2 linked regions of the Styela clava genome follow. The main gene of each other region encodes a partner of the protein of the gene in region 2 in a complex. Links are inferred from orthologs where the notes say so. Each region holds a gene or a part of one and is shown on either strand. Other genes may lie near its edges. The genes, in order: pre-mRNA-processing factor 19-like and pre-mRNA-splicing factor SYF1-like.

Evidence for each region.
Region 1: pre-mRNA-splicing factor SYF1-like (region 2) and pre-mRNA-processing factor 19-like share a complex: the UniProt entries of both Homo sapiens proteins name them as parts of the XAB2 complex. The link is inferred for Styela clava from reciprocal best matches to the Homo sapiens genes XAB2 and PRPF19.

The regions. Positions count from the first base shown.
Region 1 is NC_135252.1:20,699,752-20,709,344, forward strand, and holds the start of pre-mRNA-processing factor 19-like, read right to left. Parts: upstream 4,386-9,593; 5' UTR 4,245-4,385; coding exon 4,226-4,244; intron 1,938-4,225; coding exon 1,789-1,937; intron 995-1,788; coding exon 859-994; intron 1-858. Other genes in the region: uncharacterized protein LOC120343531, read right to left, coding at 7,129-7,895, 8,366-8,862, 9,395-9,593. UniProt on the Homo sapiens protein: Ubiquitin-protein ligase which is a core component of several complexes mainly involved pre-mRNA splicing and DNA repair. Required for pre-mRNA splicing as component of the spliceosome.
Region 2 is NC_135255.1:19,051,075-19,060,637, reverse strand, and holds the start of pre-mRNA-splicing factor SYF1-like, read right to left. Parts: upstream 4,527-9,563; 5' UTR 4,486-4,526; coding exon 4,391-4,485; intron 2,770-4,390; coding exon 796-2,769; intron 376-795; coding exon 209-375; intron 1-208. Other genes in the region: small ribosomal subunit protein mS26-like, read right to left, coding at 5,695-6,333. UniProt on the Homo sapiens protein: Involved in pre-mRNA splicing as component of the spliceosome. Involved in transcription-coupled repair (TCR), transcription and pre-mRNA splicing.

The sequences.
Region 1 (9,593 bases), on a different chromosome or scaffold from region 2:
AGCTGCAATATAGACATGAAAATAGGGATGCATATAGGGTCCCAAACACCATTTGTATGGCCTCCTTCGTATATGGCCATTGGACTGTCATAGATATAGAGCGTAGTTACTGGTTAGGAATAGGAATATAATGGTATCAATAGCTATTTGAATGGCCTCCTCTGTAGACGGCTATCAGGCTGCCAATCCTGCCATATAGACTGCAGTGCATGATTGCCACCAGGTAAACTCATGTTGATAATAAATGAAGCACAACTGATGTTAGCGAAAGGATGTAATTTGCCGACGTTTCGAACAGATGCCCTGATGAAGTTTTTCTGTATAGAAATTCGAAACATCGGCAAATTACATCGTTTTGGTAGCACCGGTTGTGCTTCATTTATTATCAACATATAGACGGCAGGTTAGAAACTAGGATGAATATATGGTCCCAAACATCATTAAAATGCCCGCCTCCATAGACGGCTATTCAGCTGTCATAGGGATGGATATATATATATGGTACCATTCATTATTTGAATGGCCTTCTTTGCACAGGACTATAAGGCTGCCATAGATTGCAGGTTAGGAATAGGGATGCTCCAAAATACAATTTGAATGCCCCTCCTGAAAGATGGTCACAGTGAACTGCAGGTTAGGAATATACGATACTAAAAGCTATTTGAATGGCATTCGTTGTACAGGGAGGTTGGGCTGCCATGTTTCAGAAATAGGGATAGATATATATCCTACACTTTGAGTCAACATTTGAAGGATAATTACTGTCCAACATGTGCAGTGTCCTATATGTGTACCCATGTGCTCACGATTGATTTTTAACACTATAGTCCAAAATAAAAAAATTGGGGATGTTGATACCTTGTCTTGTAGTTTGTAATTGCTGTCTCAATGTATATGAATTCAGCATGCAAGCATCCCACTCATCTTGTAAGGACTTCAATATAGCTGGGATACTTGTTGCAGATGGTGGTTTGGGCTTGATCACTGAGTGAGTCTGAAAATACAATAATTTTCAAATTATGCAAGAAGAATTGGCCATTGAATAGCCCCTCGCTCAGCACATTTTTGCTAAATGCTAGTGGCACTGGCAGCCAGAGGTTCACATCTTACTCACATAGGAATTTTCTCCAGACCAGGATAAAAATGAAATAAATATGAATAAGTCATTGAGCTATTTTTAGCCAAAACATCAAACTTTTAATTTTAGTCTGATTGTGCCCGGATTTGGATCACAGGCCATAGTTTGGCTATGTCAGGTCTAGTCTGTAATATACAGATAAATATAAGTTTTCGGAGTTTCAGACCATTATGTTGGTGAGAATATTGAATAGGTAGAAATTTGGTGAAGTATGACTGAATCAGAGACAGCCGCTATTATAATTGAAGTCTGAAGTGACGTTTGCTAATATAAGATATAGAAAATATTCTAATGTGGCAATTTTCAACAGAGGAATTTGTATGTACTATGTAAATTCGTTGAAACTGAATCTGGTAAAGTAAGATAGATAATATAAACTTTGTTCTGATTGGAATTGTTTTTTTTGCACTGTTAGAAGATGAATTAAGTCTATTTTTGTCGTTTATTTCAGATGTCGAATGCCTAAAATGACAGAAAGAAGAGAGATTCATTATTGGGTCAACCGAAAATACAGTCATCAATACAAATATATATGGTTTTTATTTGATTTTAGTTGGTTGTGGCAGCATCAGGTAGGCCAGATTGGATTTGGGCCGGATTTGGCAACGCGGGCCGTAGTTCGCCCATGTCAGATATAACGCAGTATCAACCTTTATATCAATTATCTGTTCCGGTGAAATAGGTTCGTTGCATGTAGGGTCGACACCATGCTCTTGGACATATTTTTCAAGCAATCTTCGTTCAAATACACATCCAGATACTTGGGATATGCATGGGTGATCTGGCACTTCTCCACTGACTGTAAAAAAGGATTAAAATGAATTTTTGAAATGAAAGGTCTGGTTGTTTCACCATCCAGTGAGAAAGAGACAATCATTTTGGCAAATAACAGAATGCTGGAAATCTGGAATGTGTCAAAATGTTCACATACAGACATACGTCAGTCAGTCGAAGTTTATTATAACTGGGGTTCAATATACCGACATAGGAGTCCATAGGACATACTTATGACGGGTCTGGTATAGTTAAGTACCACATGCACTTCTAGTTGGTCTGGCTCAACAATTTTTGCATGGTTCCCGTACATTTGAACACACGTAAATTTTTTTGTTTTACGGACATTTTAACCCATACTGACCCTAACCCATGGGTTTTAGCACCCGCGGATATACACATGGGTTCAAATGTACAGTCACCTTTTTGCATATGTCATTCTTAAACCCCACCTGACTATGTCACCAAAAAATCATGTCATTATGACATCACAGTTTCGTAATAAAGCCCTCCTAAATATACGGAAGGACGTCCCAAATGCACAGACGATCATCCAAAATTGAGCAAGTTATTTCTCTCGTTTTCTCGTCGCAACGACCCTGATATGAGAGAGATCGCCGATGTTCGTTATCGGCGGCACAGATGCCATTTCGGGCGATCGCAGCTACACTTTAGCAAGCTCTATGACGTGATTGTGACGTCCTAGTGACATAATTTTTGGATGGCATAGTCAGGTGGGGGTTAGGAATGACATATGCAAAATTCGTTATGCTACGCCAACTAGTGGTATACTTGTGTTACTAAACTATAGTAGGGTGGCTTACCCACTTTGCGGCCACGACCCATTTGCGGCCATCAACTTCATCGGTTAATTTAATACCGAAAAAATTAATGAACCGCGACGATATTTCTCACCCAATTTCGTCCACTCATACCTCGTATCTCTGCGGAATTACACTAAAATGCGGCCACAAACAAAAAAAGTTACGCCCGAAAACCCGCCCGGAGAAAAAAAACGGACCATTTTTTCATGTCGCCAACTACCCATTGTCGCTCCAAAAAGCTTGAAAATCTATAGAAATATAGGAGATAAAAACATGAAACTTGGCAGCTGAGTAGAGTTTTGTTTCTTTTAACCATCTTTAAAGTTTCACGTTTCAACATTTAAGGGAGGGGAAATAGGGGGGTGCACATTTCCAATACGTCAATAATATCTTTGTCGAACAATTTGCGATCACCGTGTTTTTGTCTGTTTGATTGCTGTGATGTGGTGCTTTGTTTATAATTTGACGAGTTGTGTTCGAAATAATCGTGTTCTCAAAATATATGACGGTCAAAAAAGCAATTAGGAGCCCAATTTTTTCACGCATGGCTGCGTATGTGCTAGTCTCAACGCAGCATAAGCGATGTTCAAGGCTTGAAATCTGCGGTTGCACACTGGTCGTTCGGTCGCAAATACGTCTCCCGAGTGTCATACTTTGATGGTTTGTATAGCTTTAACCACTGGTCGTAGAAAGTTAATTCGAGATTTACCGTGTAGAATAAATGCCAATGGGGTCTGGTATAGTTTAGTACCACATACACTTCTAATTGGCCTGGCTCAACAATTTTTGCATATGTCAATCCTAACCCCCACCTGACTACGTCACCAAAAAATTACGTCATTCCGACGTCACAGTGGCGTAACACGGCCCACCGAAGTATGCGGATGGTTGTCCAAAAGGCGCAGACGATAACCCGAAATCGAGCAAGCTATTTCTTTCGTTTTCTCATCGCAATGATCACGATAGGAGAGAGATCGCCGGCTTTAGCAAGTTCTTATCGGCAGCGCAGATGCCATTTCGGGCGATCGTAATTATACTTTGACAATCCCTATGACAGTATGACGTGATGGTGACGTCGTAGTGTAGTAATTTTTGGATGGCATAGTCAGGTGAGGGTTAGGAATAACATATGCAAAAATCGTTATGCTACGCCCACTGGCAGACTGGAAGTACTTGTGGTACTAAACTATACTAGACCCTGCCAATGCACCTACAGACCTATGGTGAAAAAATTAACAGGTTAGAAATATTAGTTTTAATTTTATAGCAGTTTGAATGAAATCGTCCACAGACTGGCTGCACCACCCTAGACCCCTTTGAAAAATTTACAAATAACAAGTTTCAGTAAAACATGTTTTTTTTGGAAACAAATACAGAAATATCAAAGGAAGGGCACAGGGGAAAGCTTATAGCGGTAGCGTGAACCAGTAATCCTCTTGCACGTAATTACTTCCAAATACGTAAATAAATTTAAATTCAATCAACTTACTTGTGCATATTAACGACATTTTGACAATTACAACATACAATCCCAATCCAATAATAGTATGATCTTCAAAACTTGGAGCTAAAATCAAAGATGGCGGCGCCGTATGAAGTCACTCATGCATGGTGTCCAACAAGACTTCCGTGGTTTCGTGCCGATGGATATTTTCCAGACCTTCGACCCGAAAGATATTCTTCATGGATTTATTTTTAGGAGTCTATTGCGAGTTGGTCTTACAAACTAGTACTGATAGCTAATTTTAGCCTAATTTATCGCACCATTTTAAAGCTAATTTTTGAACACCAATAGCGACTTTCGGACTGGTTTGTTTCAGCGACTCTTTACCATACTGCTGTTCATCGGATAGAGGCCTCCGAATCAGTCGCACCACTTTCGGAAAGGTTTTAGCATAGGACAATATTTCATCTATATCGGTGGAGAATAAAGCCGACTTAATCATAAGGCGAACCACGACCACTTGTCCGGTTACCGCACCTATGGTGATAGTCAAAGTTTCGTCAGTACTTTTCCCGACTATTTAAATTGTTTTTATATGCGGATTACACTCTCTTTCAAAAAAAAAAATACTTGAGGTTCATAATGATTAATTATCAATAAAATTTACTCACATTTAAAGACCCCACATTCACCAGTATTGATATATGGTTTCTTAAACAACTCACAAGGCAAATGAGAACGAAGTCTTACGCTTCAACCACTAGGACACGGGTTGGCACGGGTATGGGATAGTGGCGTATCTACGTAAAATGTCGCCCATGGCAAATTCTGAAAACTCGCCCCCTTGATAGTTTGACAATTTATAATGACTATTATTTAATTGAGATACTTGTACGTTATTATCTGAGTAAAAATACGAGTTTCAATTATTCCCAATTGAAATTTTTTATGATTAATACTTTTTGCCCGTTTTGCGCCCCTGTTCAAACGGCGCCCATGGCACGAGCCATGGCTGCCACACCCTAGATACGCCACTGATGGGATTAGTTGGTTATTTGTTTTCGAAAGCATGGACTTGCACGGCCAGCGGTTACGTGAACCACCCCACGGCGGCGAAGAGTCCAGCAATCCTCTCGCACATAACCATTCCCGAATTGGATTCGAACATGCGAAACCACGCAGAGTAATCAGAGGTGCTATGGCGAGAGTTTTCCTAACGCTTAGCACGATGAGCCACACCGCCGCGCTGCCGAGCCGCAACATATACTCTTATGTCAGAGGCTAATAAAACTTTCGGAAACCCACTTATGATGCAATAAGCAAGTTCTTAAAAATACGAAGATTCAATAATAGAATCTATGACGAAATGAAAACTGCTTGCAAAACTAAAAAAAGAGAGTGTTTACACACTTGAATCGCATTAATGCAACCTATTTTTACCGCTTGCGACGTATAGTTTGGGGACCGCTGTGATGTGTAATTAGTGGGGAGTATTTAGCTTTATGCCTCCGCCTCTCATTAATGCCTCAACGCTTCTAAAAAACAACTTTGAGACAGAGCTCCGAGCCACAGGTTGGCGATCGCTGCACTAGGCCATGGCTTCCACAAACTTTCTTCATAAACTTGTTCAATAAAAAATACAAGAGTTTTACAATAATTGTTTTTATTTGTTATACGAAGGCATTGGATGCAAGAAAAGAAGAATTAAGGATCTTTATATTTTGAATTACCTGAGTTTGCAATATGTAAAGAAAATATTCTGGAATTCTGGTCGTCATTAAGCGAGTCGGGAAAAGTTTGGTAAAGTCATATTAAAATCTACTCGGATTTGAGGTTTGGAGGGATTTGCGCCCACAAAGGTTTCGCACCAGTATTTATATGTACTTTTCTTAAACAAGTTCCGTTGGTTCAACGGAATGAAGTAATAATGGATGGAAATCGATAACTAGAGGTCTACGACGCTATATTTTCATCACAGTAAAGTAAATTATGCAAAATATACTGAATACATAAAATGTAGTCACACTGTATACCTATAACAATGAAATACAGATGAAAATTATAACTGTACATCTTCGTCAAACATGCTTATACAGAGAGGTATGCTTATAACAGTGCTCCGAGTAACCTGAGGTAAATGGTATTGGAAAAATTAATATACAGTTTTAAATGTATCAATGCGACAAAGTTTGAGGTATTTGTGGTTGAAGGTAAACTTTGAGAATGAAGGAAGATTTATTTTTACTAGTCGTTTTATCTAAAATGCTTAGACCGAATTCCATGCCGTAGCGATAACCCTATACTTATGAAATTTAAACCTATTAAATACCGCAGTTGCGCAGCCAGTCAGTCAAAATTGACCAAGTCGCAAATAAAACTTTGGGTTCCGAGTTACCGCAAATTCAATGTTCAAACCAAGAACACGTTTGCTCTGCTGAATTGTTTATGGAGCTATCTACGCAACTGTGGCTGGCTATGTTAATCAGAACCAAAAGCAAGAGAATTGGTTAAATAAGCGAACCAGGGCGATTATTGCCATGTAGCTTGCACATCATTGACTGACAACAAAGGGCCTTGTACAAGAATCTAGAAGGTGTTTCATTCCGAACAAAATCATGTTATTCATATTTTGACTGACAGAAAGCTACCTAGTTGATGACGATTTCCTCGTGATATCAGTAGGATTTCTGAAATTTATAATTCCTGCGGAAGAGGAAAGGCGAAAAGATGTCTTAATCATATGGCGTACCTCGGCCCCCCAGTTCATGTCGCGTATGGGAATAGTAAATATTCAGTTATTTGTTTCAGAAGCGAGGGCAACACTAGGTGAAAATAAAACTTGAATGAAAGTGATTGATAAAGTAATAAAAATGACAGCTGTTATCCTGGATACAGAAAGTATTATATAGTAAGCAAAATAGGAAAAGAATATTATTGACGCTATTTAATTAATTAGCGGGAACAAGATTGGCGGACTGGGGAACAGAAGATGTACCGTCAAGCCTTGTTCGGTTTGGATCCCACTGATATAAAAGTGCGTGTTGGAGTCGACTATAACCGGATATTGGAAGAGATTCAGACGGGTAGTAGTGGTTGTAGATACCCGATTGGGCAGATTCAGGAGTGGTCGGAGTCTGACTTTCTTTTCGATATGCGAAATTTGCGACTGTGTTTGGTGAAAACCGGAAAAATCTAGACGCTGGGTCGCTGTTGTTTTCGTGGTTGAGTGAGTCAACTCCGGGTTTGATATTGAAGGTATTGGTTGTATCGCCGGTTATCCCGTGTATTCCATTGTCGTTGTATAAAAGTCTTGGATCTGCAAATGGCGAGGTTAGGCCGAGGAAGCTTTGCTGAATCTGAGGTGGCACCGCATACATTGTGCCATAAACCAAGTCTTTCCAACCTGTTATAACTGGCTTCCATTCAATGATAGGGGCGAATCGATTGGCATCAAAACCAGGCGCCACAGATTTGGTTTGAGGCGGCGGATAAGTGTCATCATGGGATGCATCGGGGGTTCGTGACACTGGTGAGGCGCCATCGATACTATCTCCCTTCGCTTCACTATCCTGGCTTTTGTTTATATTCTCATTATCTTTGTATTGCACAGTTTCTTCGTTGTCTTGCATATGTTTGTCTTCATTCGACTTCTTGGCAGGTATTTCATACCATTCGTTGCATAGTTGTCGCTTCCACTTCTGTGGTTTTTCAGATGCTGAAAGTGAAATAAGGAGTTTATTGAAAGCTAACAATTAGACGGGGTTTAGAGATAAGTTTGTGGTGTTGAAACTATTACAAGTGTGATTGCTCATATTATTATGATTGCTTTGGTTTGGTATTTGGTACCAAGCTAAGAAAACGTGACACAAAGTTCAAAATACTAGTCAGGTCTGCCTACGAAGCAGGTACATCCTTGGTGAGTCCATATTGCTCGAATACTGGCGCACATCGATCAAAATAAAACCGACCATAAACTCGACTTACAGTTCACAATAATAAGTCATATTACAGTTCATTTTTCCAACAAGTTAAAGTAATTACATATTAAATAAATTAGGTGGTAAAAGTCGCGGGAGACCAAACCTGTTCATCAAGTACCTCATCGGGAATTAAAAGAAATTTTAGGTTTCTGAGTATTGCCTTTATGAGCTACATCGCATCGACAACATTAATGTGTATTCTTACCTCTTTTTAGTGACTTTCTCTCTGGACTTTGTATTTCGTCAGAGGAGGAGACATGTCGCTCTTCGTTAGTCGTCGTTGACGCCACATCGTGGTTGTCATTTTCAGTTGGCGAACGACCGACATCGGGACCAACGACATCTTCATTTGCTCTATCGTTTTCTCCCGATTGTGACGTATGCGGAATTTCTGTGACCTCTTCCGGTACGGGTTCACACCTTCCCAATGACTTATAAGCAAGGTCTTTCACTCTCTGCATAAAAGCGGATTGGATTCGCTTCGCTTGGAACGTAACATGTGTGATCTCATTCGCTGCTGAACCGGAAGTGTTTGGAGAGGATTTTCTCAGATTTGGCGAAGAAGGAAGAGATTTGTCGCTATGGCTTGAATAGGCAGAATCACGTCTCTGGTCTTTGCGGCTATGGTCGTTGATCACGTGTTCTCGTAGTTGCTCTCCGTTTTCGAATTTTCGGTCACAGTGTACACAGTCGTTCACAGATCTGCAAAATTAAATAGGTAAATTTTAAATTATAAAATTCTGCCTATAATTCTTCGTAGTTCCATTAGCTCACGGCACTCTAGTTATCGCACGTAACGTCCCTCAGAGATAGATTTTCTTTATTTATGACAAGTGTACTTGGGCTGGGTTTCGACAAAGTTTCACAAAAAACATGGGAAATGTAGGACGGGGATCATAGTTAATTATAAAATGACTCAATCGTTTGACAGAGACTTGGGTTTGCTTACAGGATCGTGGTGGTGACCCAGAAATGGCTTGAACTGTGTGTTGTAAGACGGACATTTGCAGCGTTGGCTTTATTGATCAGCATAATATACTTATGAACAACAAAAACTATATCGATTTTTGGTTGTATATGACGCGTCAGAAATAAAGATTACAGCGAGTCTTGAAGCACTTCAAGTCTATGCAACCAGCAGGAAAACATATACAACGTAGCGAAATACCTGATTGAAAAGTTTTAGATTTCGACTTCTATAAATAAAACAAAGTCAGCCTATGATTTATCTTACCTCACGTTATTGCTTTGCTTTGGTAGGCTTTCGTCCGCACGACTGATTACAGGTTTATATTCAAGAGGTACCGGGGTATCGGCTGAGGTGTTCTCTACTATCGAAGGATGTGAAGACGGGGTTTGGAAGTAATGTAACATATTCATATTGGGTGTAATGGTTGTCGGGGGAGAGTATAAAGGCGCGGGTTTGGGGTCGG
Region 2 (9,563 bases):
GGGTGTAACAACTTTGGGACTTACAACAGGACTCATTGTTTTCCACTTTTGCTTTTGTAGTGCTGTAAATATTGTTCATAAAATGTAACTTTTTCGTCACACTTACGTGGCCCGCCAGTTTTTTCCCCCTGGTCTTAAGACCATATCTACCCCTGCTGTAGATCCTCAGATAACAGAGCCTTATGATGATAAAAAATACTATCAATACCTGTAGTGTTGGAAGCAGCAGCCAGCATTTGAGCCGACATGAAGTTGACTTGAGTATTATAGGTTGCTTGAACGCTTCGTTTGATTCGTAACATTTCACGAACTGTGTCTTCATTTCCGTGTTTTACTTCGAAAGTTTTCCACGTCTGCCAGAATTCAGCTGTGGTTCTGAAAATAAAATAAGTAAAATGAAGAATTAATTATAAGTAAAATTAATAAAAAATTACGGTATATAAAATTCGATTTATCCATGTGTTTATATACAACTATTTGGGTAGAGATTTCTCGCAACCTTTTTGTCCACAAACTGTTGGTTTAGGATTTTATGCTTGATGGGGATAAATCTGAGTGTTGACAAAGGCCACACTAAATGGCATGGCGAGGGACGCAAGTCGGCCGATGCACACCCCTGTCCCTGGACATGCCAATTTTACGAAAAATACTAAAAAAAGTACAGCGAAGTTTACTTGGCAGGCTGGATTGTGGCCCACGAGTCGCATGTTGCACACCTCTGATTTACGAATAATTGATAAGTTGGTTTCTGACATCTACGAGGGTACATTGGGTGGTATGGAAAATCACACTCACCTTGGATCACACATCTGAGAGCAGAAAGCATAAATCGCTCTTGCTCTGTCAATTTCACCCAGTTTCTGTTCAAGGTCAGCAAATCGGAGACAAACATCTCTCGCTTGAGCATCTTCGAGTGATTCGATAGCACGTTGGTATATCGGCCTTGTATGGGTAACTCCGTATATTTCGGCTACACGCTTAATATAAATATTAAACATATCATATTTTTCTTCTGGTAAAACGGCCTTCGTAGCTTTTTCGTAGACTGCCATTGCGTGTCTTGATAACCCATGTTCTTCTTCAAGCTTGGCGTATAAGAGATACAAATTTTTTGCGAACTTGGGGGGACATCCGTCTAAAGCTTGCTCAAAAAGATCTCTAGCGCGCTCTAGTTTCTTTCCACCATACCTTGCAATGAATTTAGTCAAATATGTATTCCAAAGATCGAAAACGTTTGGCCATTTAAACATCCCGACACCTCGTTCATAAGCCTTAAAAGCCTCTTCAAAATAATGATTGTCCTCCAAAAACATTCCGTAATTGATAATAATTTGCGGAGTGGAGATTCGGAGATCCAAGATACGATCATAAACAGCTTTACAAGTATGGAAGGTCCCGAAACTCTCTTCTAAATCAGCGTACATGGACCAGAGTTTCAATGATTTGTATACTCTATTTTGGACTGGTTCGGTATGGTCGAAATATCCAGCGCGTTTAGGTGGCATTGCAGTCGCTCGTTTCATTAAATTGATTGCGCCATCAAAATTCTCGTGTCGTAGTTCCATTTCAGCCCACTCACACCACACGGTGGCCAGATCTTCAACGCCTTTGTAAGACACGAGGACCGCTTTTCCAAAAATTGTACGAGCGTCGTCAATTTGATCATGCTTTTCATAGAATTTAGCGAAGGAAACCCAGAGATTAGAAATCTTTCCAACGGATTTTGGTATTTCTATTGTCTGTATAGCTTCTGTGTATGTATTGATGACCTGTGCTAAGTTATCTTCGTAAAGCTCGACTCGTTTAAGCCATTCGTTTACATTGTGTGGATTCTGCCTCAAGAGGACGCTATTGAGAAGTAATGGACGTCTCGTAATTAAATGTTCGAACCTTGCGAGTCGTAATTCAATATCAATGTCATCTTCTTCATTCTGTTCCTCTTCAGCCGCCTCTTCCATTTTCGAACTAATAACGGACTCTTCAAATTGAGCGTACGCATCGAAAATTTGTGTAAAATCACGGACAGTGGTCACAGTTTCTATTGCTTCTTCGTAAATCTCTCTCGCTCGTTCAAAAAGTCCGCTTCTGATGTAATAATCAGCTAAAGCGCACCAAAGTTGTCCTAATTGGTCAGTGAAACGTTTTAAACCACCACGAATAATTGCCTCGACTTTTAGCGAATGTACTTTATCAGGATTCTTTGAAATGAGTTCACATAACTCATGCCAAAGTAAATGATTCGTCTTTCCATGTTTCGACGCAAAACTCTCGTCGTTAACAATTTCCGCAAGTTTTGTAGCTGCCTCATCGTAACGATCGATCGATATTAAATATTCCACGTAGTCTTCACTTTCTTCTGGAATGAGTTTCAGCATTCGACGAAAAACTCGAACTGCTGTTTCATGAATGGGATATTTTTTCACAAATTCAATATACAACGGCCAAATCCGATCATGCTGCGTCACTGGAAGAGCTTCAAGGCAGCGATCAAAAGTACGACGCGTTCTCGTCAGACATCTTTGATCCACAAGAAATTTACAATAATCTATCCAAATCCGGGGCATTTTGTGCATAAAAACTAACGCTCGTTCATGTGCGTTATTAACTTCTTCAAACATTGAGTCCGTAGGACATCGACCTTTAACCTGGCTTCGTCTGATTCGTAGATAGTTGTACCATAACTTATAGCTTCCAGGAAGTTCTTTCAAAGCTCTCTCATAGACCATGTTGAGCTGCTTATAAGGTGCATTTTCTTTGTGATCAATGTACCTAAAAAAAATAAATAACTTAGGACTTTCGCATATAAAGCATTCAGAGTCGGGGTGGGCTTTCTTTTACTATAATACTATCCTTATATTCAATAGACTTGGTTACTGGGCCACAGATTCAAAACTCAATATGAAACCATGAATAAAGAACAGTTTATTCACAAATAACTGTTGTCGATAACAATCGTTGCCTGCTTGTTCACCTGATGTGAAGCAATACGTATTTGTTGCAGGGAATAACATTGGAAGATCAGCAAGCAACATGGGTATAGACAGAATAATTGGATTTCAGCAGTGGCGCAGATAGGCGGGTTACAGTGTCAAAATCGCTCTGCAGAGATGCTGAATTTTCAGAATGGCATGAATTTGGATGGGTGAGTTTGAGGTATAAGTGGGTCGTTTTGCACATTATATCCAGGTGCGGATAATACATAGAGAATTGGGTTGTAAAGTCACAGATATTTGCCATCTGTCTTTAATCGTTTCAGACCTTAATCTTTCAGTAAATTTGTACGCTAAGGAAATTATCGCAAGCGACAAACAATCTTCCAAGCTAAGGTGTACTTTATACTTCGGTTTCCAGTGGATCATATTCATTAACGACTAATAACCCTCCAGGTGTAACATCTGGGTGGTATTGACTAATGTAAAATTACATAGAGCATACACAACAACTTGATAGTGAAAATAAAAGTTTAGCAAAGTCCATGTTCTGATCATTGAACACAAACCTGAGTCGGGGGGGTTTAGTTGTTGAAGCGTTACACTTCAAGTTGAAATCAGGAGTTCAAATTCCATAGTCACCTCACCCTGCTAGGCCACGGTTGAGTAAGGTTTTTGAACCAGAGGTCAAAAATTTTGCCAACCAAGACTTGGGGGCCATGTAAGAATGACATTAAAAGTTACATTTTATAAACAGAATTTTATTTACAGTGTTACAAAAGCAAAAATGTAAACAATGAGCTTCGTGACAAAACCAAATTTTATCGCAATCTCGACAAATTTCCGAGGTATTTTTTCCTAAAACATCAAAATACAAATTTAGTTTGGTTGTGGCAGCATCAGATTGAATTCGCCGTTGTTTGCCCATGTCATGTCTAGGCAATGTCGAGCCAGAAAGATTCCGGCTCTTTTGATCAATAGTAGATCCCGACCTAGCAGTGGGCGCTTATGTATAGCCTAATTCTAAATATGTGATTAAAAAACCAACGAGAATATCGGTTGGAAACCGAATACTTATCGATCGATAGTTAGGGGATCCCCCAAAACAGACACTGCAGTTTTCATCCGCTTCATCCGCTCGTGTAACTTGCGCACTGCGCGTCGCACACACACACTCGGCGGGTCTCAAAATCCTCTCGCTTTACAAAAATCTAGATCACTTAATCAATAATTGATTGATAACTCGCTAATTATACGACATAATTCGCCCAAAATCAATAGGAATCTGGTCCGAGATAAGATGAATGCACATGCAAAATCTGGAGCAGATTCAATCTCGCTTTCGTGAGATATCGCGCGCATCTAACAGACACACACACACACAGACAGACAGACATACATACAAATACCTATCAATATACTTACCGATCTTAAGATCGATAAGTAATAAATAAACCTACCTCAGCCAGCATTTGACAGAGAATGGATTGCGCAATATCTCTTCTTCATAAGGTAGGTCATCTTCTTCCAAGACCAGCTCATCCACAGATGGCATATTCTTATTCTACAATAGGTCTAACGGTACAGAATTCTAAAAGATAAAAATAGGAACACATAGTTTTAGAGTTTAAATGATGAAGATGATTCCAAAACATAAAGAATGTATTATCAGGAATTCAGTCCTTCCTATGGGTTAAAGACTATAAGATAAAAAAAGACGGCATGAATACCTTCACACAATATTTTGAGCATTAGCATATATCGATACTCATTTTACAGAACAGTTCATTAATAAAGACGCTCCATTTTGGGATGAAATATATTTTGCCACAAACATTAAATAAGATATTTGGTTCTAGGGTTAGATTGAAATCAAATCGTACTGGAGTTTACTAGCAGTCGTGAAAGCGAAACTTCAAACAAAGCAAAATTTTATTCAAACCTGGGTCCAGCCAACTTTTGTACGATTTATTAATCAAAACCTTATCAACAAAAAAAGTAACATATAGCAGCACTTTCACTGTTACACTGATTTAATGTCTCAATGATTCCCACCAGAGGACGAAGTTGGAATCATACTAAACCAGGTCCCAAACAAAAGATAGACAGGATCTTCATGGGATCCTACCACTACCACAAATTAAAATTTTTGTCATGAAGTCAGTTCTCAATATTTTGTATTTGTTACAAGACTTTATAAGCACCATGTACTGCACCACAGCAGAAAATACTGTGGCATTGGTTCCCAACCACGGGCCTGTGGCTCCCTAAGGAAGCCACAGAGCAGTTGGAGAGGGGCCACATTGCTAGCCGCAAAACTCATTTCAGTTTTACTAAATGAAAAACCCTGTTCTTCTTTTTAATAGCTTGATAAGCTTATTTCACAGGGTCTTTTCACTTCGTTGAGCATGAATTGTTTGAACATTTAATAGGCTTTGGAATCTGCCAATCAAAATAACACTTTGAATCCCACTGGAATGATAAACAGGGGGGCAATGAGTGCTAAAAGCGCCACGAGCCATAAATGTTGGGAAACACTGTTATCGTCAATTATGCACCTTATGTGCACCTCAGAACCTTAAGCACACAAGTAACATATAGCAGCACTTTCACTGTTATACCACATGTAATGCCTCAATGATGACAAAAGATTATAAAGTCCAGTTGCAATTTCAAAACTTCGTTATGAAGTCAGTTGCCAATGTTTTCTAATTGTAACAAGACTCTATGAATCCCATGCACTCTAGCATCACAGATTAAAATACTATGGTATCACAGTTCTTAACGCAATTCTGCCATTTCTTTTGACAGCAAAATTAAAGTTAACCACATTGTCTAAAGCTTCTTCAATTTTTTCTTCCAAATTTTCCTCGCTAATCCAATTTTCAGATTCGTCTATCGCTGTCAAAACTTCTTGCTCATATTTAGCAAGTTTATGTTCGAATTTTTTTTCTAATAAACTGACTTTCTGGCTCAATTGTTGTTCTTGGTTTTCCAATATTCGATCGAGTTTTTGTTCTCGTTTTTCCCGCATTTCTTTGTTATGAGCTTCATTATACGCCATACATTTTTCATGGTGGCTTTGTTCATCGAAACTATTTTTTGAGACAGTTTTTGATTCCTTTTTAGCTTCGTTTATCAATATTTCTTCTTGGAAAGCAGCAGCTATTGATCTCAGCATTTCATTATAAGATTTATAGATTAATTCACTTTTCTTTACATCATGTTCCGTAGGTCTCGGTTTATTAAAATATATCCCTGCTTTTGAAGGTGCTCGACGTGGTAGTAACCACTTCGGCTTGCGGTATCGGACTTGTTCAAGAAGTGGTAAATGAAGTTTCGTTTCAAGCATGGAAGGCTTATAAAAAACTCGGCTCAGAATATTGCTTCGTACCAGAGCCATTCTATAGAAACTGCAGTTGAAGGTATCTGTTGTAAATCAATTACGGTATCTATACATATCTAAACCGGTATGAACTGGAATATTTTAAAAGAAGCGATGCAAAATCAGAGTCCAATAACTTTCCATTATTATTTTGAATGCCTGTAACAAAATAATCTGGTCTTGAGTAGTTTCATACCTCAAGTACTTATAGTTGGCATAGGGTAACAATTTTTGGGGTTAGAACTGACATATGCCAAGTACTTGAAGTACGAAACTACACTAGACACGAATAATCTCAACTTCACCAAAGTGCATAAGTGTGAAAATTCTAATACCGGTATCATCACTTTTCATAACTGGTTCAGTGTTTAGAAAATGATCATTATACATATATAATAAGGAATTTCAGTTAAATCGGGTGAGTGAGTCATGTTACTATGATTTGTAATAGTAGAAATGTTGCCTACAACACAGACAACATCAGAACATGAACATGGAATCACTACCGGTATTCAGTTATTTGAATGACTGAATGACACCGACTGACTGAACTGGAATATAAATATAGGATTTCGTGCTAATTGTTATGAATGCGCAATACGTTGACCACCGCAACCTTGATTACGATACCGTACCCTGTGTTAGTTCGCAGGTTTGAATCTAGTGAAAGATGATACCGGTAATGAACGAGTGGGTTGCTAAGAGTTCTTGCAGTTTTGCCGCCGTGCCGGTACCGGTACTGCGTAAGGTCTTGCAACAACGTACCTATTGTAGTGCTCACTCGTTGGCTTTCTTCACTCCATAACGAATCTAAAACGTTATCCCAACGCAGCATTCACAGAAGTAAATAACCCCGAGAAACCTTTTATTGTCGAACTCAATTCCAGAGCAATTCCGGCATGGAATTATTCAATTGTATTTTTCACATGCTGAAGCACCAAATAAAATGTTAGTGGGGTCATAGGTCAAAAAAATTCATCTCCAACACTTCAAAGTTTTTCCTTCGTTAAGTCAGTTGACTCATAGAAAAAAATTACAGGATTTACCGACTACGTTGACAGTAGTAACAGGTAGTATTGCTGAAATTCAACAAATATTGGGATTCCAGTGGCGACGAGATAGGGTGATAGTTATTTATGAGTATGAGTTTATTTTGATTTTCCCGTAAAAAAACCTACACAAAACAATGAACTCACAGAAGATTGGGAAACTAACAAAACCTTTATCAAGATTTGAAAACACGTGAAATATATATGCCAGTTTACCAATATTACCCACGTAAACATACATTTGCTTTGGGTTTCGAATACTTAACAGATGAGTTACACGAACGTGAAGCATAATGCGACAGTGAAGAACAAAATTATTTTTAGGGAACAGAGCGATGACAAGCGTATTTTTAACGTCAGTGTGATGCGCCAAACCTCCAGTCCGGTGTTTAAAATTCTATTTCAGTTAACTGTTCAGACTTTTAACTATTCCTAAACAGTATGAGCACCTCGCAATCTGACTTTTGTACAGACTGAATAGTGTACAATATGCGATGTAGATATGTAGTGTCATATCTACGTAAAATGGGTCTTTTGACAAAGTTTAAAAATGCGCTCCTTCGATCGTTGATTGACAACTTTCAACGATAGTTATTGGATTGAGATACTTGTGTTTTATTAAGTATAAATACGTTTTTAAATTATTTCCAATTCGGGATTATTTTATTGAACCATTTAACCTTTAAAACTTTTTGAGCCTCATGGATATTCATTTTATGACACGCGTTGTTCGCTTCGCACAAGCTAGCTGTTAGAGCAGTGTTTCCCAACTTGAGTCCGCGGAGCGGTTGAATAAGTCCACAACGAGCCAAAAATTCAATGCGTGCCGCAAACGTTTTTGCGCAAATTAACTATCAGCCAAGTTACGATTTACGTTAGAATTTACATAAAACATGAAAAGCAAGTTTATTCACATAACATTAATCGAGTCATTTTCGTGTACATTACCCTTTACATCGATTTAATTGTCTACTTCCGCCATCGTAATTAAAGCTGAAGCTTAGCGAAAAAATGCTAATCGACGTAACAAAGGCATATGAATGTCCGCGGTTCACCGTGAAATAGGGCATCCTGAATTTACTGGAAACTATTCTATACAGCAATATGTGAATTTTCATTTTTTTCCTGGAAGTGAGAAAAGTTGATAAGCCAGTTCAATCATATGACTGGAGAATTAGTTATTCAGTTCGAATTTAGATAGGATTGAAATATTTCACCCGGGAGAGGAAAGCCGATAAGATGGTTTACGACCGTGTGTCGTCCGATTACCACTCCGTTTCGGGTAAGACATGATATTAGTCAGCTAGGTATTTCTTTCAGATGCTTGGAATTGATGGTCGAAGAAGCCGCAACCGACCAGCGGTTACGTGAACAACCCTACCGCGGTGAGGAGTCCGACAATCCTATCTCACATAAATATCCCAACGGTATTCGAACCTGCGAACCCACGTACAGCAATCAGAGGTACGATGACGAGCGTATTCCTAACACTCAGAATGATGCGCCACTGGTTATTTGTTTCAGATGCCTGGCCTTGATGGTGTAGAAAGCCGCAACCGACTATCGGTTACATGAACCACCCTACGGGGGGGAGGACTTTGGTATTCCCAGCATAAATGATTATTCGTTGGCGGGAACCAGCGAACCGCAGCCGGGTAGTCCAACCGCTCAGCACGATGATATCTTTTGATAAAAAATATGTACGTGAAGTAGGCACCCGCCTGTATATAAATCATTGTTTAAATAGTCCCCTTTTTGTTTGAACTTGCGCTAGTTTGTTTATTTATACATATTATCTTATCATCATCCTTTTAGATTAGAGTTGACGCCATGATAATTTTTTCATATTTTTTCTTTTTCTTGCTCTATATATATCCACTTGTGTCCTTTCCATATCATGCCCTGATGAAGTTTTTCTGTATAGAAATTCGAAACGTCGGCAAATTACATCGTTTTGCTAACACCGGTTGTGCTTCATTTATTATCAACATGAGTTTACCTGGTGGCAATCACGCACTACAATATTGTTGTTGTGCGAAACTTAATGAAGTTGCCCTTACCATCTCTCTATTGTAGTGAAATGTTATTATTCCCTTGTTTACGAGTTATTCTACAGCTTCGTTATTTTAGCGCTCTGTAGGTATCATCGTGGGTGATATGATGGCGGTGGTTCTGAACATTGCAAATAAACAAATTTAC